Alligator mississippiensis: one gene and its partners. The protein of the gene in region 3 interacts with the protein of the main gene of each other region in a biochemical or structural test. Links are inferred from orthologs where the notes say so. Each region holds a gene or a part of one and is shown on either strand. Other genes may lie near its edges.

Region 1 (7,789 bases), on a different chromosome or scaffold from region 3:
TTCAGGGGGCAGCTCCCCCAGAATCGTTCCCACTGCATGGCTACATTGGCAGCTGGTGGCTACCCATCCCCTGCAAGCAGCACGTGGCCCCCCTGCTCCTCCCCGCACAGGTTTCACTGGCAGCATGAGGCCCCCCCGTTGCCTGGGCTGCACTGGTGGCATGTAGACCCCTGCTGTGTGCACTGTGCAGGCAGCGCACAGGACCTAGGCCCTCCCTTGATGCAGGGCAGCATGAGAGGCTGCTGCTGGGGCCTGCAGGCCACAACTTAAATGCTTGTAGGCTGCATATAGCCCATGGGCTACATGTTGGCACCACATAGGCCGCATGAGTCCCACAGGATGCCAGTCTGACAGATCTGATCTGGAAAATGTAGTAAGATATGAGTGTTAACATCAGAGAGGGCAAAATAAAAAGGAAACCTAGGTTAGGCTTTTGTCATTAGATTTAAAAGGGTGGATTTATAGATCTTGATTGACTTCTTAGGACAGAGACAGTCATGATTTTTTGTTTCTGTCAAAATACCATGTACACCAATGGTGCCATTGTCAAATAAGCAGCATACTGCTACCCCAAGTAGCAACATTTACAACCTTCATCTTTTACTGGAACAGTGACAAGCCAATTTTTAAAAAACATTTATGATTAAACTGCAGGCAAGGACCTAGTGGGATTTTAAGGGGTGCCAGGGCACCCAGTTCCCATCACCTAACTTCAACTTCAGGTGCCTCAACACTTAAAAATAGGTCCCTAAACCAACTCCCAAGAAAAAAAATATGCGTACCAGTTTAGGATAGGAAACCTAAAACTGCATGTCAAATCTTCATCTACACTACATTGAGGTCCCTGCTGTGTATTACATATATTACACAATTAACTGGTTAATCGTTCAATAAATTTAGACTAGCCACACATCAAAGTAATACTGGCCACATGTGCAAAGTAATTATCACTCAATTACCTGGTTCATTGCACAAGAAATTTAGACCAGCCACACGTACAAAGCAATTTTATCACGATACAAATCATGTGATAAAATCCAGCTATAAAAAGATAAAAGCTGTAAAATCCAGCTATAAAAAGAGGCAACCAGCTACAAAGTTAGTGCTTGGAAATGTGTAACAGCTCTATAAAAGGTTTCTATCCAGCTTTAAATTGAATGTGTAGCAGGGCCCTGACTTACACCAGTCGAGAATTTCATTGAACATCAGGGAGCTGCTACTAAGCTATGAAAATGTTTTCTGAACCAGCACCATAAAACATTTGAAGACTGAAAAAGAGCCCTAATCTTTCCATTTTTTGAGTATTTTTTAACTGCCCGGGACATATAATAACTTAAAATATAAGCAAATCTTAATCATGATTTTGTGTTACTCTTTAAATAGCCAATTTCCACTGCAATGAAAGCAAGAGACTAGGGGTCTCACATTAGTGGCTCCCAGATCAAGGAACTCTTTCAAGATGAGAAACGGAAGCCAGCAATAACCCAGCATTTAAAAATAATTAGCCGATATTTGCTGAAAACAATTTAAGAAACTGCTGGCAAAATAGTCCTCCCACCCCATTCTGCTTATACCCATACCATGCATTCTCTTTTTCTTCATTGCAACAAGTTATGTAAGCAGTTGGAAAATGAAAGCTTAAAATTTTTCTTCTTTATTGCTGTTCATAATGCATGGGCACAGCATGCTTTCAATACAGCACCAGAAATTAAAAATTAACTGTCTGACTCATGCAATTTTTTTAACAGTTTCTCTGCCATGTACAATCTGAGTCACAGCACTGTGAATTATTTTGGCGGGGATGGGGAAGTTGGGATCAGCTGATTCAAGATAAAAATCTTCTATCATAAAAAAGACCTTTACAGACTCTGTGGTTCCATATTATTCCAAGCGATGGAAGAAAACCTAGATCTTCATGTAGATTTCTTAGACCGTATTGCTCCTATTCTAGCTAAAGCAGTATTTTTAAATATTGCTCTTTTTTTTTTGTTTTGCCTTTTCAAATTCTCTCCATTTCTCCAAAGTCCTGAGACCACCACATCGTCTCAACCCACCTTTGTTTCCGCAGCAGCACTCCCTCCTTTCCTTTCCTCTCCTCTCCTCTCCCTTTCCCACCCTTTGTGTTCAAATGACTGCTCTCTATCTCCCTGCAAGCCCATTCATCGCATCTCACCATGATGGGGTTGGCTGCAGCGCCTGGAAGATGTGCTGGTGCCTCTCTGAAGCGGTGAGTGTCTCAGGTGCCCCCCTGCCTGCCTTGTGCCTCCCTCCACAGACCAGCTACCATACAATGGCCAAAGGACAAGCACCTCAGTAACAGAGCAGAGCAAGCTGCCTCCGGACTGCAGCAGCCCGGGTGGATACCGCAGTCCAGCAGCATCATTTAGCCAACTCCTTCAAGACTTTTTTTTTTTTTTTAATTTCTCCCTGTCGCCCCTTCCTCAAACTGCAAAGCAAAGAGCTGGCAGACCGGGACAAGCCTTCCCCATGGGCACGGCACAGGGAAACCCCTCCTTGCTCTCCAGCCCAGGACAGGGGGCAGAGCAGAGAGGGCTCCGTGACAGCCGCCCGCCCGCCCTCCGGCCGGCCGGCAGGGTCCCCGCTGCCCCCAGCCCGGCACGAGCCCGCGGCCGGGATGCGCCCGGGCGGCCCGGACCTCCCCCGCCTGCCGCCGCCCCGCAGCGCGGGGCTCCCCCGTCCCTCCCCTCCCCTCCCCTCCCTCCCTCCGTCTCCTACCGCAGCTGCTCCCCGGTCAGCAGCACCTCGGCCATGTGCTCCAGCTCGGCCGCCTTCTGCTGCAGGCTGCCCACCGCCGCCTCCATGGCCGGGCCTGGGGCGAAGTGACAGGAGACACGGAGCTCAGCAGCGGCGCAGCCCCCGCCCCGCCCAGCCCAGCCCGGGGTGGGGGCAGCCCGCGCTCCCGGGGCCGCCGCCCCTCACCTGCAGGTCCTCGCGCGCCCCTTCCCCGCACGCTTCTCGCCCGCCCCGCGCCTGGGAGCAACACCCGCTCGGGGCTTCTCGTTTAAGTTATGCTGCGTCCCGGGCACGTAAAAACCGACTCACAAAAAAGAAAGATTATTGCTCTGTGTTACGGGGCTGTCTGGGAAGCCGCTCCTGGCCCTCCCGGTCCATGGGGCAGCTCCCCCACCCCACCCCCTGTGGCTGTCCCTTGGGAGGGGACTTCCCCAGTGAAAAGGGACAGGAAAATACTCCGTACATAGTTCATGGGAACGCTCTTTAGTAGCCTGATGACCTCCAGCTCCATTCCCGCCCGCCCCGGGGGAGCGAACATGGCAGGCCACCGCCTGGGCTCCTTCCCTTTTCACAGTCATAGGCTTGGAGGCCGCAGCGAGCGAGCGAGGCTGGCTGGCTGTATCCAGCACCAGCAAGCCCCGCCATCTGTAAGTGTATTTTATTCCAGCCAGGACACGTTCCAAGGGAATGTTCCTTAGTCCAAGTGACGGGGCCTGTCTACATTGGAGACAGCTTTGGGTGATGGATGTCTGTTTGAAAAAATAACCGAGGACACCCCGTTCCTGTCCAGTATTCACTGTCCAGGATGATGTATGTGTCTTTTTTTGTGTACTACCCAATCTCCAATGTGTCACTGGTCAGCAATGGTAGTTTTTCAAGGGAGAATCTGTGGGACAGTGCTGGACATGTCATGTTAGAGCGCAGACCTCGAAATAAATACAATAAAAACACAAATACACTACAGATATCAGATTCACCCAAAGAACCTTGTCTACAGATGTGTAGAATTCCCGTTACCCTCTAATGGTACATATTGCAAGAGATGAATGTGAGTGGAATTAAGAAAATAGCCCTCACCCATGGACAAGTAACTCAGAACATCTAGTAGAGAATTGGGACATGGAGAGAAGATCTTAGCTGCCCTCCTTCGGGAGGTGACTCAGGGACTGGTAGGCAGTGCTTGGCTTTGTCCCTCCATCATCAACCCTAGGGGCTTGGCTTGGCTTGGCTTGACATGAGTGGACACACAAAATCACAGCCTTGGGGAATATTTAGAATAACTAAGATGAGTTTCAGGGCACTTATGGAACAGATGGAGGTCTGCAGACTGTTTGTATCAGAAATGCGATCTGAATGGTATATTACAAGGTTCTTTGGGTAAATGTGATATCTTTTATTAGACCAACTTATATAGTTGGAAAAAAAAATTTAGCAAGCTTTTGGGTTTAAAAACCCTTCGTCAAGGTGAGGAAGTCTCTGCAGTTGGTGTGTGCTCTTCCTGGATGGAATGAATAGTAAAGAAGCCAGAGGCTGGGCTGGTCCGCATGCAGTCAGTGAAGATTTAAATTGAGGAGTCTGTGGGTGAGAGACAGGCTGGGTTGGGGGGAGAAGGGGGATGAATGTAGCAGTTAAATAGTGGGAGGTAGCTGGGGAGTCAGATGTCAGGCAGGTTATAGTGTGTCATAAGTCCAATGTCTATATTTAGTCCAATGTTTTTTGCATCCAGGAGGTTGATGAAGTGAAGCTCATAGACTCGTCTCTGAGAAGTGTTTTGTAAGTTCCCTTTGAGGATTAGAACCGAGAGGTTGGAGAGAGTGGTTTTCTTGTGAGAAATGTACCCCCACCGGTAATTGGGTATTCTCTGGGTGAATCAGATTCACCCAAAGAACCTTGTCTGCCTATGTCCTTAGACCAACACGGCTACAACCTACACATCTGAAAAGTATAGCTCTCTTGTCTGGTCATGGACTAACTAGTAAGAAACCTAGTATTCTACTGTTCCATTAAAACATGGTGTTGGGCTTTGTTTTTTAAACATGCTTGCCTGTGATTTCTTACAAAGTGATGGTTACAACTATTCATGTGAGTGTTTGTCATTCCAGCTTTGGAGTTGGCCATTGTTTTAAATAGTTTCCTGATTAGATGGCCAGAGCTCCATAAATAGGCAAATGACAGAACAAATTATTAGGGCAGCTCATGGAAGGGATGGCAGTGTACTTTGAGGATAAGAGGTAGCAGCAGATAAACTGGGCTAGGAAATGTTAAAACATTTTTCTTTACTCTTTTACATTGGAAGCATCACAAGCAACTCATACTTTGAAACATCTGGTTCCTTCTTTCTTAAGGGAAACAAACATGCATCAGATCTGTTGGCACGTTAGCTGGCTGTGCATTGTCTGTCCTGTAGCACTAACATAAAACATATTCTTGTGTATATGCACAGACTTATTTGCAAAGAGTGCAGTCATTTACATATGTCTCAACAGCAGGCCTCTAGCTAGGGAGGGCTGAGAAATTACCACATATTGTAAAGTTTTCCCTCCTTTTTTCAAGCTATTTCCCATACACGGCAAATGCACAGCTTATATGCTTTGCTGTTCATTTGTTCCTTTATAACTTTATTAAAACAACATAATTTATCTCTGACAGTGTGATTTAAAATACATCAGGTTTCTAGCCAAGCTGCTTTAGAGGTGTGATAAGCCTCAGGAAATATTAGAAAATTTTCAGACAGAGAAAAATAGCATATATTAAGTTTCTGATTCTTAGAAACTTGTCTGTGGCAGACAACTGGAATTTGTGCTGATTATGCAAAGTTAGATATGAAATTCATCTATTCTACTTCTTACGTTCTTACGCATCATTAGCCTGGTAAGCATTATAGAAACTTAATACTACCTATTCTAGACTTATACTTATGTATTTCTAATTAAGCATGTGGCTTAGTAATTAGTAACAAATCATGCAAAATCATAATTATGGAGATTTTTAAGTAATTGTGAGTATTATCATTTTTTAACATTTCAAAAACCACAATAGAATACACCAGTCCATGGCTTGCTTACTCTCTTGATTACTAGCACTTCCAAAATGCATCCACCAGTTGTCTTCCTTGTCCATTTATCAGTGTTGATTCCAATCTTTCCAACTTGCATAACTAGTTTAAATTACTTGTCCTTGCCACCTCCAAACCAGCATCTCGCATTTCATTTTTTTCCCATTCGCTTTTTTAATTTACGTCTTCACACTCACCCCATGCATATAATGATCTCCCACATCCAGAGGATCAAGAACAGCAACAGAGTTGCTGTCAACAAACAGCTTACCAAATATCTTAGAGTATTTGAGGATTTTGAATGGTAGTTCAAATATGTGTAATTCTGTTTATTTCACTACAAGTTACAATGTTCAACCTGGATAGGCACCATCAGCTTGAAGAACAGCTGCAACCATCTTAGTAGGATGCCAGTCAAGCAGCTGTTGTCATGATACAGAGAATCACAGCTCTGTCTCAAAAAAACATTCTTTAAAGAAAGCTACAAGCTACAGATATAAGCTAGATTTTCAGTTTTGTCACCCTTCTTTACCATGGACCACATCCCATCTTGAATTCACCTTAATGCACAGACTTCTAGTGGCTCAATACTACAAGAAAACACATTGTTACAGTTGCCAGCAATATATGGTCTTTTGCACAAAGTAAATTTTTTCATGTATTTGGGCCAGCATTACAAAGAGAATTCAATAACTCTTAGAACTGCTAGGAACAAAAGTTCTAGTAGAATAATATTCACCAGTGGCTTTTGTTTGTGATTCAAGTTCATGTGCGAGTCATACAGGTTGGATGACTGGACTGTAAGGTGAATAGAAAACTGGCTGGATCATCAAGCTCAAAGGGTAGTAATCAATGGCTCAATATGTTGTTGGCAGCTGTTATCAAGTAGAGCGCTCCAGAGTTCAGTCTTAGAGCCGGTTTTGTTCAATATTTTCATCAACGACCTGGAAGATGGGATGGATTATACACTCAGCAAGTTTGCAGATGATACCAAGCTGAGGGGAGTAGTAGCTACACTGAAGGGAAGGACTAGGATTCAGAGAGGCCTTGACAAATTGGAGGATTGGACCAAAAGAAATCTCATGAGGCTCAGTAAGGACAAGTGCAAAGTCCTGCACTTAGGAGGGAACAATCCCATGTGCCAGTACAGGCTGGGGACCAACTGGCTGGGCAGCAGCTCTGCGGAAAAGGACCTGGGGTTACAGTGCACAGTAAGCTGAATATGAGCCAGCAGTGTGCCCTTGTTGCAAAGAAGGCTAATGGCATACTGGGCTGCATTGGTAGGAGCATTGCCAGCAGATTGAGGGCAATGATTCATTCCCTCTGGCACTTGTGAGGCCACATGTGGAGTACTGTCCAGTTTTGTGCCCTCCCCCCCCACTACAGAAAGGATGTGGACAAATTGGAGACAATCCAAGGGAGAGCAACAAAAATGGTGAGGGGGCTGGAGGACATGACTTCTGAGGAGAGGCTGGGGGAACTGGGCTTATTTAGTTTGGAAAAGAGAAGACTGATGGGGGCTTTAATAGCAGGTTTCAACTACCTGAAGGGGAGTTCGAAAGAGGGTGGAGCTGGACTGTTCTCAGTGGTGGCAGATGACAGAACAAGGAACAATGGTCTCAAGTTGCAGCAAGGGAAGTTTAGGATAGATATTAGGACAATCTTTCTCATTAAGAGAGAAGTAAAGCACTGAAACAGGTTACCTAGAGAGGTTGTGAACTCTCCATCCTTGGAGGTTATTAAGACCTGGCTAGAAGAAGCCTTTGCTGGGATGATCTAGTTGGGGCTGGTCCTGCTTTGAGCGGTGGGTTGGACTAGATGATCTCTTGAGGTCCCTTCCAATCCTAATTTTCTATGATTTTATGATTCCATGTCCATAGATTATTATAAAGTGCTCTCAACAACATAGAAACAAATTATTATTGATATGTTTTGGTGATTCCAGCCCACCTAAAGATAGAAAATACTTTTATTTGCACC
Region 2 (6,968 bases), on a different chromosome or scaffold from region 3:
GATTCTGCGACCCCAAACGCAGCTACCTCTCAAGTCAGATGTCTGGCTGTGCCTCATGCTGCTGAGGGCAAAAAGTCTCCGCTACAAAATCATAACAGAGCAATACAAAGCATGTGGCAAGATGTTCAAGCCAGGGGAGGAGGGCCAGAGACCTTTGCAGATGTGCACTCTCCCAGCACCCCCATAAGAAAGTTTATAACCCTGGGATGACTAGCCAGTGACACAACAGGGACCAAAACCCAGGACTCATGACACCCAGCTCTTGTCTAACCTACTCTGCACCCTGCCCAGTTCCTGACACCGGTTCCAAGCCAAAAGCAAGCATGGGTATAACCAAGAGCGCTGGTTCAGACAGCAGGAGACTGTGACCGCGCTGCCCTGATGCAGCAGATATGCACTGCACCAGGCAGCGATAATTACAATCCACTGTGAGAAACCTTAGATGCTAACTTCAGACTCAACAGCAACCGCACAAGGCAACAAATGACCTGTGCACCCCACAGTGCTGCTGGGTTGTTTGTGTCCACAGCACAGAGTGGGTGGAAGCAGCCCTTTCAGTTACACCAGCTCTAAAGAGTGACCTAAGAGAGTGGAGGGAAAGAAATGTTTAGAGAAAGGACCTCAGAGTTTATTTCAGCCCCAAATGACAGCTCTGGAAAGTGGCAGTTGCAATGTATTTTTAGAGTTAATGCCAGGGAACGTGTCCTTTAAACAACCGCCCCTCTGCTGTGATTGTCCCCATGTGCCTAGGCTTCGGGCTGGGCAAGGACCAGAAGGAAACACTAGCCAGGGGCATCCCAGCTAACACCACCACCTAGAGCTTCTCATCTGCAGAGCTCAGCGAGCTTTATAGCAGAGATCAGTTTCATTGCACGTCAGGGCTGTGCAACTCACGGCCCATGGGCCGCATCCTGCTCCTAGGGGTTAAGCTGCAGCCCCAGGAGGTCCCAGGCTGAGCACATTTCTTGCCCACTGCTTTCCTGCTACTGCTGGAGTCTCTGGGCTCCCCCACTCTCCTCCTGCTTCCCTTGCCTACCCCTATCCCTCAGGACGGGCACAGCAGCCCACTGGGATGAGGGAACCTGTGGCTGGGAGTCCCAGGGACAGCACTGCAGCTTGGTGGGGGTGAATAGGAGCACGTAGTGTGGTGCAGTGCAACACAGGAGGTACCTGCAATGAGAGGGAGTCCATAGTAGTGTGTGGCCGGGGTGGGGGGTGGCGGCTCAGGTGGCCCGTGCCACAGATCGAGAAACAGAAGCAGAGACACGACATGGAAAAGGTCAGAGCTGGGAACAGAACCCAGGTGTCCCAAGGACTCACGCCACTGCTCTGGGCAGCACATGGCGCTGTCAGGACCTTTCCAGACAGACACAAACAACAGGGAATGTGTCTAGAGTCGGTGGGTATCGATAACCCAAGTGTTACCTGCAGCAAGTAGGAAGGAACTTTTTTTAATATGCCACTTAAACCTGATGCTAGCCCTTTCCTGGGTCTGAACTGGTTATTCACTGAATTAAGCAACTGTGCCCCCTCTCTCCGACTGAATGGAGAGCCCCCGAGTAGTACAAACAACAGCAACTTCATGTTTTGTGAGCCTGCTCCACTGTTGACGCAGTCACTAGAACTGCAGCCATGAAGAGGTTGGAGGGCTAGTAGCTACTATGGTCCTCGCTATCGTATTTTCTGGTATGTAAGGCATGTCCCCAACTCCCCTGAAAAGGAGTATTTAAAGGGGTATCTTGTATACCAAAGCTGTGGAAGAAAAAATACCATGTGAGTGAAAGTAGACGATTGTAAGGCGAAGATGAGCCTCAAGATGTTAGTGAAAGTGTGTGGGCCTAGGTAGGGAAAAGCAAGGAGAAGGGGCATGTCTGACAGCAGCCCCGGTGCGTGCCCAGGGCCCAGCATTACTGTCGGGGAAGCAGGAGGGAGACGAGGGCTGTAGGGGCCATCATCATCCTTCCCTACAAACACCACAGGGCAGCACTCAGGGGACAGCCAGCCCTGAGCCCCCGCTGCCTCCTCTGGTGCGGCCCAAGGCGCGATGCCAGCACCAACGCACCCTCACCCCCTTGGCTTCCCAAACCCCATCATCAGGTCTGACTCTGCCTGAAAGGGAGATTACAAACCCCAGGTTCAGTCTTGGTGAGGGTGTTTGGCGACACAGGGGCACAAGACACCGCTGCCGTACTCGCAGCCGACACCAGGCACCAGGCCAGTCCCAACAGATCCCAGGTGCCTTGGATGTTAACCCACTTCCGCGCACCAGTCGCAGGAGGCGTGGGAAGAAGGGGCGCGGCATGGCGCCTCCTATCCCGTGACCCAGCCCCACCCGCTGCTTGTGCGGCAGGTCACGGGGGGCCGGGGGGCAGCCCGGCCGCGCAGGGCAGGGGAGGGAGGCAGGCAGGGACCGGGCTCGGAGCAGCCGGGGGCAAGTAAGCAGAGAAGAGCCCGGCTCAGTGCCCAGCGACCCCGCTCCTACCCCCGGCCACCTCCCTGCTGCTCCCAGGCCTGCGCGAGAGAGCAGTACGGCCCTGCCCGCAGGCTGCAGCCCCCCGGGGGTCCCAGCCCGGGCCCTGCTGCCCCCCTTCACCTACCCCCCCCCGGGCCCCTGCCACGTCACCCCTCCCCCATAACTGACCCCACACATCACCGACCCCTCTCACGTCACCGCTTCTTCCGTCACTGACCCCCACGTTACCCCCATCACTGCCCCTGCCCCTCCCCCAGCCCGGCCCGGCCCGGCCCGGCCCGCCATGACTCAGGGAAACCAGCCCCGCGTCCCCAACCCGGCCCAGCCCTCCCCAGGAGCGCAGTGCGGCCCCTAGCCCCGGCCCCAGGCTTGCTCTGCCCAGCCCTACCCGGCCCGGCCCCCGGCCCTGCCCGGCGCTCACCAGACCATCGTGCTCTCTAGCACCATCTTGCCTCCTTCCTCAGCCGAGCCGGGCCGGGGCCCAGGCTGCACTGCGCGCGCGCAGTGGCTCGGGGCCGCCAGCCAATCCGCTCCGCCCTTCTTGCGGGGTGGGGCCGCGGGGGCCGCTGAGAGGTGTAGTTCGCGCACCGCCTCCAGACAGGGGGCGGGGCCAGAGGGGCGGGGCCAGGCGGGAACCCAGGGGCCTCCATGGCTGGGGGTTTGCAGGCAGGGACCCAGGGGCCGGTTGGTGCTTCCCAAACTCCTCCTCAGGGTAACCACGGTTATGGCCCCATTTCCTCCAGACGGGCCCCACTGATGTCACCATCCCCATTTGGGGTCACGACCTGCAGTTTGGGAACGGTTGCTGTGGGGACATCCCTGGCCTCTGGGGTGTGCTGTCCCCCTTCCCCTTTCTGCTCCACGTGGCAGGGGGTTTCAGGCCTCCCTCAGAGGCTCAGGTGCTGGCTGCAGAAAAGCTCCCCGCCCAGCCACCTGCCCTGCCAGCGCTGCTGGGGCTGGTCTCCGTGGAAACCCTGGCCCCCTGCTGTCATGATGCCACTGTTCTTGGGGTCTCTATGGGAACTGGCCACAGCCACATAGGCTGGGGCTGCTGGGAAATGCAGGCCGGCTGCTGGCCAGATCCACCATTTTGCCCACCCCTGGTTTAGATGGGTTTGTCTCAGATGGCTTGGACAGGGCTGATCCAGCCTCGGGCAGGGGTTGGACTAGACGTGACCTCTGAAGCTCCCTTCCAGCCCCACACTGCTCTAGGATCCTATGGTGATGATGATAGCCTGTGGCCTCAGCTCCATTATCTATGGGGCAGGGCTCCAGGGGTTCCCGGCAGCCGATGTCTCCCACACTAGACAGGCCAGCACAGGTCCCCTCCCTTTGAGGTTGTGGAGAAACGACGCCGTGGGCGTTTGGGGGCATCGCTCTGCTACCAAGGAAGAGTCAGGTTGGATGAGGTCACGGGCAGATCTAGGATGTTGGAAAGGGGGCTGCAGACAGTGAGATGACTTAGCCCATAGAACGTGACACATCTCTTTCTTCAGTTAAATTAAAAGCTTTTATTTTAATATTCCAGGGGCCTGGGGCTAAAACCAGACACAGGACTCCAGATGTGGCTGCACCGGCACTGAATGAAGTGGAACAATCACTTCCCTCCATCTGCTGGTAATGCTCCTACTCATGCAGCCCAGTATGCTGTTAACCTTCTTTGCATCAAGGGTGAGGTCCAATGACAAGGGTTTTTGGACTACTAGACTATGCCCCTGAATGCCCCGGTGAAACCTCTGCTTGGCAGGATAGGGAACAAGACTCGCTTGCAAGGCAACTAGTGCAAGGAAGTGTGTGCTGTCTGCTGAATAAATCTACATGAGTGGAGTGGAAACCTCTCTCAAGTGTTCTTTCAACAACCCACTGGCTCCCCAACCCTAGATGTTGGACCAACACAGCACCCAGGGGTGCTGTGAGATCCTTAAGGGTGTCATGAAATATTAGTAGCATCATGCAAACACCTACACCTGATGCATAGGATAAACCCAGAGACTGCAAATAGGACTCCCGAGTGAAAGAAGCATCCAGCTCAGCTGGGGTTTGCAGAGTTTTTTGCAACAGAAGAATTGCCCTAGTATTTTTTCATAGTCAAGCAAGAGAGTGAAAACAAAGAGCTGGGATTTTCTGATGGGGGCTCTGAGTCAGAGGGGAGTCTTGAGTCTAAGGCTGAAAACCACTGCATCACAGGGGTCTGGGACAGAAGAGTCATAGATTCATGGATGCCAGTGAGTAGCTCCATGCAGCCACCACCGGGGCTGCTATCACCTGCCTCGGCTTCCAGCCCTGCCTTCTCTAGGCCCACTGTGCCAGCCAAAACTGGTGGCAGCACCACATCCTGATTGACTACAAGATGAACATAAGCCATCAACGTGATGCTGCAGCTAGTAAAGGGAGCAGGACACTGGCTTGCATCCATAAATGTTTCTTAAGCAAATCCCAGGACATCATTCTCCCCTTGTACTTGGCTTTGGTGAGGCCGCAGCTGGAGTACTGCATCCAGTTTTGGGCTCCACAATTCAAAAAGGATGTGGAGAAGGTTGAGAGGGTGCAGAGGAGAGATGCACATGATCAAAGGTTGGGAAAACAGCTTATGATGAAAGGCTGAAAGCCATGGGACTTTTCGGCCTGGAAAAGTGCAGGCTCAGGGATGATCTGGTGGCCACCTACACATTTATCAGGGGTGCTCACCAGGATCTGGGGGACCGTCTGTTCACCAGAGCGCCCCAAGGGATGACAAGATCGAACGGTCTCGAACTCCTACATGACCGTTTCAGGCTGGACATAATGAAGAACTTTACTATCTGAGCCCCCAAGGTTTGGAATAGCCTGCCGTCGAAGGTGGTTCAAGTACCTACTTTGAATGCCTTCAAGAGACATTTGGATGTTAATTTTGCTGGGATCCTGTGATCCCTGCTGACTTCCTGCCCCTGGGGCAGGGGCTGGACTCAATGATCTTCCAAGATCCCTTCCAGCCCTAATGTCTATGAATCTATAAACCAGTTTGACCTAAATCAGGTAAGTCTGATACTACATTCAACCAGGTTTATATCAAACTCGTTTCAGTTATTTTGAAACTGGTTTATGTATAACTTCTGTCCTTAGCCAGCGGCAGTCTTTGTTTCAGTAGGAGGCTGGGAAGAAAATGTGTCCTGACTGTAGCCAGCCGCCAGGGGTCACTGTGCCATCAGCTCTGGGTGGGTTTTGCCGGAGAAGCACTTGGAAGGGCAGGGGGACAGTAAACTCCAAGATTCATGGCTATCCCACATAGTACCTGGGGGTCCCTCCTGATGACATCTCTACCAGCCTGCACAACCAGGTGGTGGAAATCTGCTGGGAGATTAAGGAGCTTCATTACTCGGCTGCCTTCAAGGATTTGGAGATGGGAGACAGTGCAGTCCACTGGACAGGACACAGGAAACAGGATGAGGAGCCCTGGGCTCTCACCCCAACTCTGCCATTGGCAGCTGGGTGAGCGTGTGTGTGCGCACCAATTCCCTTTTCATGAACCTATTTAGGTTCTTGAGGCAGGGATGATGTGTGTGCATGCGTACAGCACCTGGCACAAAGAAGCCCTGAGCTCAGGTAAGGCCTCCATCTGCTGTCACAGGTAGGTAGCCATGTTAGTCTGAAGCCAGGGTAGATTTGCACCTTATAAACCAATGTATGCATCTCAGATGTAAATGGAGATGTTCATAAACTCACGGAAACTACAGGGCTGGAAGGGACTTCAAGAAAATCCATCAGCTTTCTGATCAGATCTGGGAGTCATTGTGGACAGCTCACTAAACACATCAGCTCAGTGCTCAGCAAGCATCAAAAAGGCAAATGACACTTGAGGGATGATTAAGGGAATTGTAAACCAAACTGAAAGTATCATGATACCCCTTTATAAACCCATGGGGCATCCACACCTTGAGTCTTGTGTCCAGTTCTGGTCCCCCACACCCCCAAAAAGGATATAGGAGAACTAGAGAAAGTCCAAAGAAGGACAGCAAGGATGATGAGTGCTATGGAGGGGCTTCCATATGAGGAGAGAGTGCAGAGGCCAGGCTAAGTCAGTTCAGAAAAGAGATGCTTGAGAGGAGACAGGAGAAGGTTTTACAAAATACTAAACAGTGAAGAAAGAGTCAATAGGGATTAGTTATTGACCATCCCTCTTCATACAAGAACAAGGGGTCACAACATGAAGCTAGTAGGTCGCAAGTTTAAAGCAGACACATGGAAGTTGTTTGTCACACAACGGGGAATTAAAGCACGGGGCTTGTTGCCACCAGATGTGGGGGAAGTTGAGAGTCTAGCCAGATTCACAAAGGGATTGGACACGTGCTTGGAGGAAAGGGGCATCAGTAGCTACTTAGCATTAGAGTGAGGAGCAAAACTTCCTAGACCCCAAGGGCTGGAGGCTGCAAATGACAGAGTAACAGGAGAAATTCCTGGTCATACCCAGTTCAGTCTCCCTTCTAGCATCTAGTCTCTGCCTCTGCATGAGACAGCA
Region 3 (8,002 bases):
ATCATTGCCAGGGACCAGGCAAGCATTTTTTAAATGAAAAATAATCATACAGACAAGAACAAAAATATCACCACCTACAAGGCTGCTTCCAGCCCTTATTGTTTGTTGTGTGAATCCGGAGCCAAATTGTAAATATTGTACTGGGGCCCGGAGAAATAATGAGTCTGGTCTTTTCAAAGAGTGTTTCAATATTTAAATAAGGAAGGCACCTTGACACTTGTGAAAAGATGCTGTGCAAATCAATAATGAATAGATTGGACTGAAGTGAGCCATGCTTTGACCCACTTAGTAAGAATCAAGGTATGCCAAATTTGTCATCCACTTGGACTGACAGGAAAATGTACTGTGGATGAGTCAGCATGGACTGAAACGCATCTAATCCGTCTTTTCCAGATCTACGCCTGTACTTACGTGGCTCTCCTCACTATGGCATCTAAGCAACTCCAACTATTTAAATATCAAGACAACACCCAGTGGATTTCCCCCCCACAACCTGGTTCAGGTTAAGAAAACTTTCTCTCGTCCACCCCATCCTAACTGATGCAGAACCTCTCTAACCATGGAAGGGAGAAAAGCAAAAGACGCCGTGAAGCTCAGCTTTGCCTGTCTAATTACTGGGGAGACACTCAGATCCTATCAAGTTCAGTGCTGGGGAGAAAAAGCCAACAATGCATTAAAAAGAAAAGTACTGCTCCATCCTCTGCCAATTAGCAGAAGACAACATGTGAGCTGTCCACAGTTTTTTCTTGCTTGGGTGCTTGTCTACGTGGGCTGCAGGTATGCATGTGAAGAACTTACTGCGTGACAGCTGCACTCAGAAGAGACACGTTTGACATTTACTTCTCAGTACACGGGGTGTCTTGGCCACTCTTAACACTCAAAGCGAATCCAGCAACTTAATTCTGGTTTCTCTGCAGTCTGTGGGGCACAGATGGAGGGCAGGAGGCCCGATGGGCCTCAGGGAGCACAAGCCAATCTCAAGGAGGGCTCTGAATGTCTGGACGAAGAGCTCAGACTGGAATCTTTATTCCATGGGGACCAGCGCAGAGCACCCGTGTGATGCGTTTACAATACCAGGAAGCAGGACGCCTTATCAGCTGGGCCCTTTCCAGGGTGCGAGGCTTTGTTACACCTGAGATCTAACGAGTTGGACAGATCCAACCTAAGTCACGAATGAGTGGACCAACCTGGCCAGATCCACACGCAACGGGATCTCTTGCAAACTTCTGATCGATTATAGATGAAAGGAGGCAATTTTGACTCCCAAAGCTACTCAGGCACCGCATACGTTTCCCACCTCTACCACCTGAAAGCCTGTAAATCTAACAAAAATAAAGGGCGCTGAGAGAAGAGTCCAATGGTCTGAACAGGAGGAGAGAAGGCTTCAAGGGGCTATCAATTGTACAAGAAAATAAATGGAGGTCATTATACGCTGAGAATTTCTACCGCTTTTGAAGTGCAAATGAAAACCAAGATTTGTACCAAGTGTTTCGCTAGTTCCACCTGGGGCATAAATTCTGAGGGTTTAAACTGATTTTTTTTCCCCTTTTTTTTTTTTTGCTCCCGAGGAAGAGATTTAAATCTGTGCCACTGAAAGGACTAATCCAGAACAAACTTGGAGCAAACGCTGCCTGTCAACTGACTGACATCCTCGGAGGCAGAAGACTTGAGCCCACCTGAAATGAACGGTCAGTTAACGTGGCGTGGATGTTTGTGCAAATGTCTTGATGCGACTGTTTTCCAGCCCAAACCAACCACAAAAAACCCCCCAATCTGGAATTAAACCTGTGGTCAAGACGAATGAAACGAGAGTTGAAACCAGTGTCTCTAAACCACTAATCTACACAAACCAGACTCGGAGGCAGACGCCCCCAAAAACTAGTGTCTGGCTCAGGATCCAAGATAACGGGCAGGCTCGTTCTTTGAAAAGCAGCGAGGAAAAGGAAAATATGGTGGGCGGAAAGAGCGAGAGAGGCCGGCCCCCAGCCGGTGGTAGAAGGGGGTGGGGAGGAAAAGCGATGGAGACGGGCTGTGACGGGGGGGTCGCACCCACGGGACCCCCCCGCAGAGCAGGGGCAGGGGCAGGACCGGCCTCCCCCACAGGCCCTGGTGCCCGGGCAGGCTGGAGTGCCCGCGACACGTCTCTGCCCGGCGCGTGCCCCCTCCCCGGGCACCGTGTCCCTCTTCCGCAGGCTCGTGGCCCCCAAATCCTACCAATGGAGGGGATCCCCACCCCAGAGCCCCCCAGCCAGCTACCCCCCCACACCCCCCATCCAGCTCCTAGCCTCAGCAGCCCCCCCCCATTGCTTTGTACCCCCCCAGCCCATGCTGGGGGCACCCCCATAATGCCCCTCCCCCCACCCATGCATTACCATGAGGACCCCCCAGGCCCCTCCCCCACTGCCCTGAAGACCCTCCCAGACTCCTGCATCAGCCCTTGGGGGGGGAACCCCCAAATGCCCCTCCTCCACCCCCCACAGCCCTGTTGGGGGGGGGACACACACTGCCCACCCTTTTTTTGGGGGGACCCCTATATAATGCCCCTCCCCCACCCCATTGCCCACCCATACCCTTGCCTTAACCCCCCCCCCCTGCAGGGAGGCACCCCCATAATGCCCCTTCCCCACCCCCACTGCGCTGAGGACCCCGCACAACTGCCCCTGCCTCAGGCCTTGGTAGGGGGCACCCCATGACCCCCCAGACGCCCCTTCCAGGCCCTTGCCTCAGGCCTTGCGGGGGGTGGGGCACCCCATCACGCCCCTCCCCCACTCCCTGCCCCTAGGGCCCCCACCCCACTGCAGGCCCGGGGGGGGCACCCCCATCAGCCCCGCAGGGAGCTCTTAGCCCTTCCCCGCCCCTCACCATGAACTTGAGGGCCTTCTCCTGCAGCACGGCCTCCGCCGGGTCCATAGTCCCGCCGCGGGGCCGGGCCGGGCCGGGGCCGCCCCCTCCCTCAGCGCCAGGCCGGAGCCAGCGCAGGCAGAAACCTGCGCTTCTCTTCCGCCCCCCCCGCCCCGCGCGCATGCGCCGCGCGCAGGCCCCCGGGACATGGAGTCCCCGGCCGCGGCGGCGGCGAGGGCCCGGGGAGGGAAGGGGACTACAACCCCCAACAGCCCTCGCGGCCGCGGCCCGGCTCCCCGCCGCGGGGCTCATGCGCAGTCGGGAAACCCGCGGAGGCTCCCGGGAATTGTAGTTGGCAAGGGCTCTGAGGGGCCTGATGGACAGGCAAGGGCAGGGGGAGAGGGCTCAGCTCCTCATCCCGGGGCTCGCGTTTAATTCTGCCAAATGCTACATGAAGCCCATTTATATAAGAGATAGAGATACAGCTAGAGATACAGATATAGATATATATAAGGGATAGATATTGATATTGATATTGATATAGATATGGGACATATATCGATTATATATATAGAGAGAGAGAGAGAGAGAGAGAGAGAGAGAGAGAAATATGGGAGATAGATAGATATCTCCCATATCTATCTATCTATCTATCTATCTATCTATCTATCTATCTATCTATCTATCTATCTATGGGTATAGGATAGATAGATAGATAGATAGATAGATAGATAGATAGATATCTCTCTCTATATAACTATCTAGATATAACTCTATCACCCATAGATAGATAACCCTGAGTCAATAGATATATATGCACATATTAATTTGTATATATTAATATGTTTATATATATTCATTTTAAAAATATTTCTTAGGGCACAAAACCTGAAAAATCCGTGGCCTTGATAAAAATAAGCATTTTGCACCTAGCCAAACAGATCGAGTTTAACCTTTACAAGTGTCTTATGTCAAGCACAGCAAACATATTTACACAAAAGCCACGAGAACAAGTGCAGCTAAAAGAGCTGGCTGTAAAAAAAAAAAAATAAAAAAATTGAGGTATACTACAAATGTCGCCTTTTTGTGAGCTACGAAAAGCAGCCAGTTTATGTTTAAAGAGTTCATTGCAATTCTTTCCATTTAAAATAAAAATCCTATAAATTAGTAAGGAAACCATGAGGATTACTGAGGAAAGAATACACTTGACATATTCATAGACTCACAGACAGTGAGAGCTAGAAGGGACCTCGGGAGGTCACATCTAGTCCAACCCCTGCTCCAAGCAGGACCAGCCCCAACTACATCATCCCAGACAAGGCTTTGTCTAGCCGGGTCTTCAACACCTCCAAGGATGGAGACTTCACCACCGCTCTGGGTAACCTGTTCCAGTGCTTCACCACCCTCTTTCTGAGAAAGATTTTCCTAATATCCAACCTCAACTTCCCTTGCTGCAGCTTGAGCCCATTGCTCCTTGTCCTGTATCTGCCCCCACTGAGACCAGCCCAGCTCCATCCTCTGTGCAGCCCCCCTGCAGGGAGGTGAAGGCTGCTATTCAATCCCCCTTCAATCTTCCCTTCTCCAGACTAAATAATCCCAATTCCCTCAGCTTCTCCTCACAAGCCATGTGTCCCAGCCCCAGATCCATTTCCAACCCCCTAACCCCCATAAGCAGATCAGGAAGGAGGCATGGGAGACATGGCCAGAACTGCAGGCTGTGGGAAGCCCCCTTCCTGAATTCACATACTCAGTTTGCCTTAACCCTGAAGTGCCCCAGCACCCTTCATCAACAAAGAGAAATCGCTTGTTAATTATTTAAATAAGGACCGGACTTCACTGGGAAATCAGGTCTTGTTTGCACAGAACATGGGGAGGGGGTGTTAGCAGACCCTTGTGAGTATGTGTTACTCAGGGGCCAGAACCTGACTGGGCTAGACTCTGTACACACCATGAGAACCCCTGCCCCCAAACTCTGATGGTGTAATACCACCTCAAATGTGCCTGCAGTTGGGGACCAGTGGTGCTAAATACCCAGTAAAATGGATGAAGCTACAGATATGGGACTTATACATGCCACAATTTTTGCCCTTTCATGTGCAGCAACTGCATGTCTGTTTGCACGCGCGGGATTTCCCAACGCTTTAAAAGTCTTTCTTGTGCATTAAAGTAAAACTCCTCAATGTAGTTTAGTTTGGCTTGCTGGGAATGAAAGCATTGCGTCCATGGATTCGTTGCAAACTAAAAGTCACATTGAAACCCTGGCTGTTGCTCCATGTCAGCACAACTCTTCCTCTGCTTCTATCTCTCTGCTTCCCCTCTGCCCTAGGTCCCCTTGCACATCTCTGTGCTCTCACCCCTGGATCATTTCATTCTCCTTCCTGCCTTCCCTTCAGCTCCGAAAGGCCAGTCACACCTTGCGTGCCAGCCAGCCCGTCCCTTCCCTCCCCCGGTCTTGCAGGCTGGATGGTGATGCTTAAAGCAGGTTGTCATGCCTGACGTGTCACCGCGCTGGGTATTTCCCAGGCTGTTGACAAGACTGCCTACACTTTCGGCATTACCTAAATAACAGTAATTAGGATGAGGGAGTAGTGTAATTAGAATGGAGCCACTCTCCACTGCTGCAAGAGGCTGGGAGTCCCTAGAGTTTGGGCTCTGACGGCTCTAAGTCTCAGCCCTCCAGGCGTGCGGCAGCTGGCAGGGAGGTAAGTGGAACCTTTCTGTAGCAGCGGGAAAGGTTCAGTGGTTTTGCTTTTGTGCTTTATTTGTCAATAACATTTGAGGCCGGCTTAATTGTAGGGAAATTGAAAAGTGTACTGCTGCGGGAGCCCGCACTGCTACCCCAAAGCCCTTAAGGCTGCTTTATCTATCGGTGACTTCTCTGAGCTGAACTTCTTCTGATTATAACAAGCACAGACCAGTGAAAGGAATTACAAAGCTTAAATTGTGCCTGACCTCACATGCTGCCAGGGGGTAGCTCTTTTATTCGGCCTGAAAGGGAGACCGGGGTTATTAAAGTGGCTGTTACGTGTATCCCTACAGGGGCTGGGCACCCTAGGAAGGGACCAGGATTGCATTCTGCTTGGCACTGAGCAAACCCACAAGAGGACATGCCCTGCCCCAAGGACCTTACAGTCCAAGGCAAGAGACAACAGGTGAATACAGCTAAGGGAGAGCACAAGGAAAAGGCGAGGCCAAGTGCTCAGGTACAGGTGTAACATGTGGGAGGCTCTGTGACGGCTTGCGGATTTTATTGGGATCTTTCTGCGTTATGGTGTTATGAATGATGTTGCGTGCCTCATTTTCCCCACCAAGCTCGTACATGGGGAAGGAATGGGCTAAAGAGACAAGGAAGCAGGAGATGACAGATGGACCTCTGCCAGCCACAGCCCTCAGTAGCTTTGTTGACAGATCAGCAAAGGTGAGATGGCCAGGGGGCTGGAGGGAAGGTGGACGAGACCAGCATAGGAAGGGGTGGAGAATGGGAACAAGGTGTCAGCTCCTGGCCTGAGAGGCTGGATCGGAGACCAGGAGAGGATCTTCGGGGGCTCTGGGCCTGGAAAGAGAATAGTGGAGCGATCTTCATGGTTAGCTGGGCTGTGCAGACTGGACGGGGGACAGAGGAATGGCGTAAGCCTTCGAAGAGGGGGCAGACACCCTCTGGCTGCGTGACTTCGGCCCTAATTGAAGCAGGTGTGCATTTTTGTGGGAGAGAGCTGGGATAAAATGAACAAGCTTTTGAAAGCAAGAGCTGCCTGTTTGCTGCTTGGGACTTGGGGCAGCCCTTGTTCTCCGCAGCAAGAGAGGGTAAAGCGCCTCTCCCGGGGCACAACTGGATGCAGCTCCAAGGAAAACCAGGAAAGACGAGAGACCAAAAGGCCAGGGTTTCAGAAGGAGCCCGGGCTCCTCCACTTGCTCTAGGAGACACAGCAGGGCTGGCTTTGAGGTGCACTTGCAAAGACTGCAGTTACCCCTTGGAGGGGACTCTGTGACAGGCTCCATCACGTGGATATCCCTGGATCGCTGTGGACATGCGGCACTTCATCGGTACAACTTACACCGGGGTATCATGACGGCTGACTTTTCCCTGGGCAGCTCTACACCTGATTCGAGACCCTTACCCCAGGTTAGCAGCTTGTCTTGTACCCATGAGCCCCTTTATCTTGCCCAAAGGCAGGTAAATGTGTTGTGCATCCAAACTCCACCCCGACTGGGCGAGAGGCAGTGATCTCAGTGCACGAAATGGAGATCCAGAACTATGGAGGGTCGGGGGGTGAGAAGGAACCGATCCCTTTTTGCCCTGCCTGCTCACACCGCAAAGAGGCTGGACATGAGTGCAGGGCAAATTTGAAACAAATGTAGGTACAAGTGATGTGGCTGAGAGTCACCGAGAGCCTGGCTGCCCGTGATTGCTAGAATCATCCTCGAAATCCTGTAGCCGCAGGGCTGGAGAGGACCTGCGGAGGTCAGATCGAGTCCAACCCCTGCTTGAGGCAGGATCAGCCCTGTGCAAACCAGCCCAGAAAAACCCATCATCTAAACTCTACATAAAACTATTGCCAGCCCTGACACAGCACCAGGCATCACACCTGAACCTGCCACGTGGAAAGCAAGGGGACTGTGGCCACCAGCATCCTGCTCCTATAAAAGGTTGTTAATAGATGCCCCAGGCCGAGGCCGTGTCCCCACTGCAGGGGAAGGCAAAACCCCCCAGTCTGGACCAGTCTGAGCAGGGGGGAAATCCCTTCCTGCCCCAGTGCAGCATGGGGCTGAGCTGAGCGTGGGGGCAAGACCCTCCACCAGGACCCTGCAGGGTTGGCGCAGCAGGAGCATTGGCCCAGCACTAGCCCATCCCCATCCCCAACCCTCAGTGCTTCTGGGGAGGCTTAAAAACCTCCTCTCACATGGAGCAGAAAGGGGATAGGAGTCAACCAGCACAGCCCAGTAAGCCTGCAAAGCTCCCATCATAGAATACAGGCATTGCTATGCCTCGATCATCCCCCACCAGTGCCTGTCCAGCCTCTTGATCCCACGGCTGTCTAGCAGTACGATTGCTCTGGCCAGATTTCCACTCCCAGCTCTTCTAAGCAGACACGATACCTTGCCCCTCCTGTCCAGAGCACGGCAAGACACGCGACGCGCCGTGCCAGGAGTTTGCGATCTG

What was found.
Region 1: of the proteins of BTRC (region 3) and DEPTOR, one has a biochemical effect on the other in vitro, tested with the Homo sapiens proteins (3 studies listed by BioGRID, with this or other methods). The link is inferred for Alligator mississippiensis from reciprocal best matches to the Homo sapiens genes BTRC and DEPTOR.
Region 2: of the proteins of BTRC (region 3) and PSMD4, one has a biochemical effect on the other in vitro, tested with the Homo sapiens proteins (2 studies listed by BioGRID). The link is inferred for Alligator mississippiensis from reciprocal best matches to the Homo sapiens genes BTRC and PSMD4.

The regions. Positions count from the first base shown.
Region 1 is NC_081826.1:22,931,985-22,939,773, forward strand, and holds the start of DEPTOR (DEP domain-containing mTOR-interacting protein), read right to left. Parts: upstream 3,004-7,789; 5' UTR 2,941-3,003; intron 2,831-2,940; 5' UTR 2,823-2,830; coding exon 2,737-2,822; intron 1-2,736. UniProt on the Homo sapiens protein: Negative regulator of the mTORC1 and mTORC2 complexes: inhibits the protein kinase activity of MTOR, thereby inactivating both complexes. DEPTOR inhibits mTORC1 and mTORC2 to induce autophagy.
Region 2 is NC_081838.1:20,037,042-20,044,009, forward strand, and holds the start of PSMD4 (26S proteasome non-ATPase regulatory subunit 4), read right to left. Parts: upstream 3,004-6,968; 5' UTR 2,921-3,003; coding exon 2,895-2,920; intron 1-2,894. UniProt on the Homo sapiens protein: Component of the 26S proteasome, a multiprotein complex involved in the ATP-dependent degradation of ubiquitinated proteins.
Region 3 is NC_081829.1:99,940,975-99,948,976, reverse strand, and holds the start of BTRC (F-box/WD repeat-containing protein 1A), read right to left. Parts: upstream 3,005-8,002; 5' UTR 2,911-3,004; coding exon 2,863-2,910; intron 1-2,862. UniProt on the Homo sapiens protein: Substrate recognition component of a SCF (SKP1-CUL1-F-box protein) E3 ubiquitin-protein ligase complex which mediates the ubiquitination and subsequent proteasomal degradation of target proteins. Recognizes and binds to phosphorylated target proteins.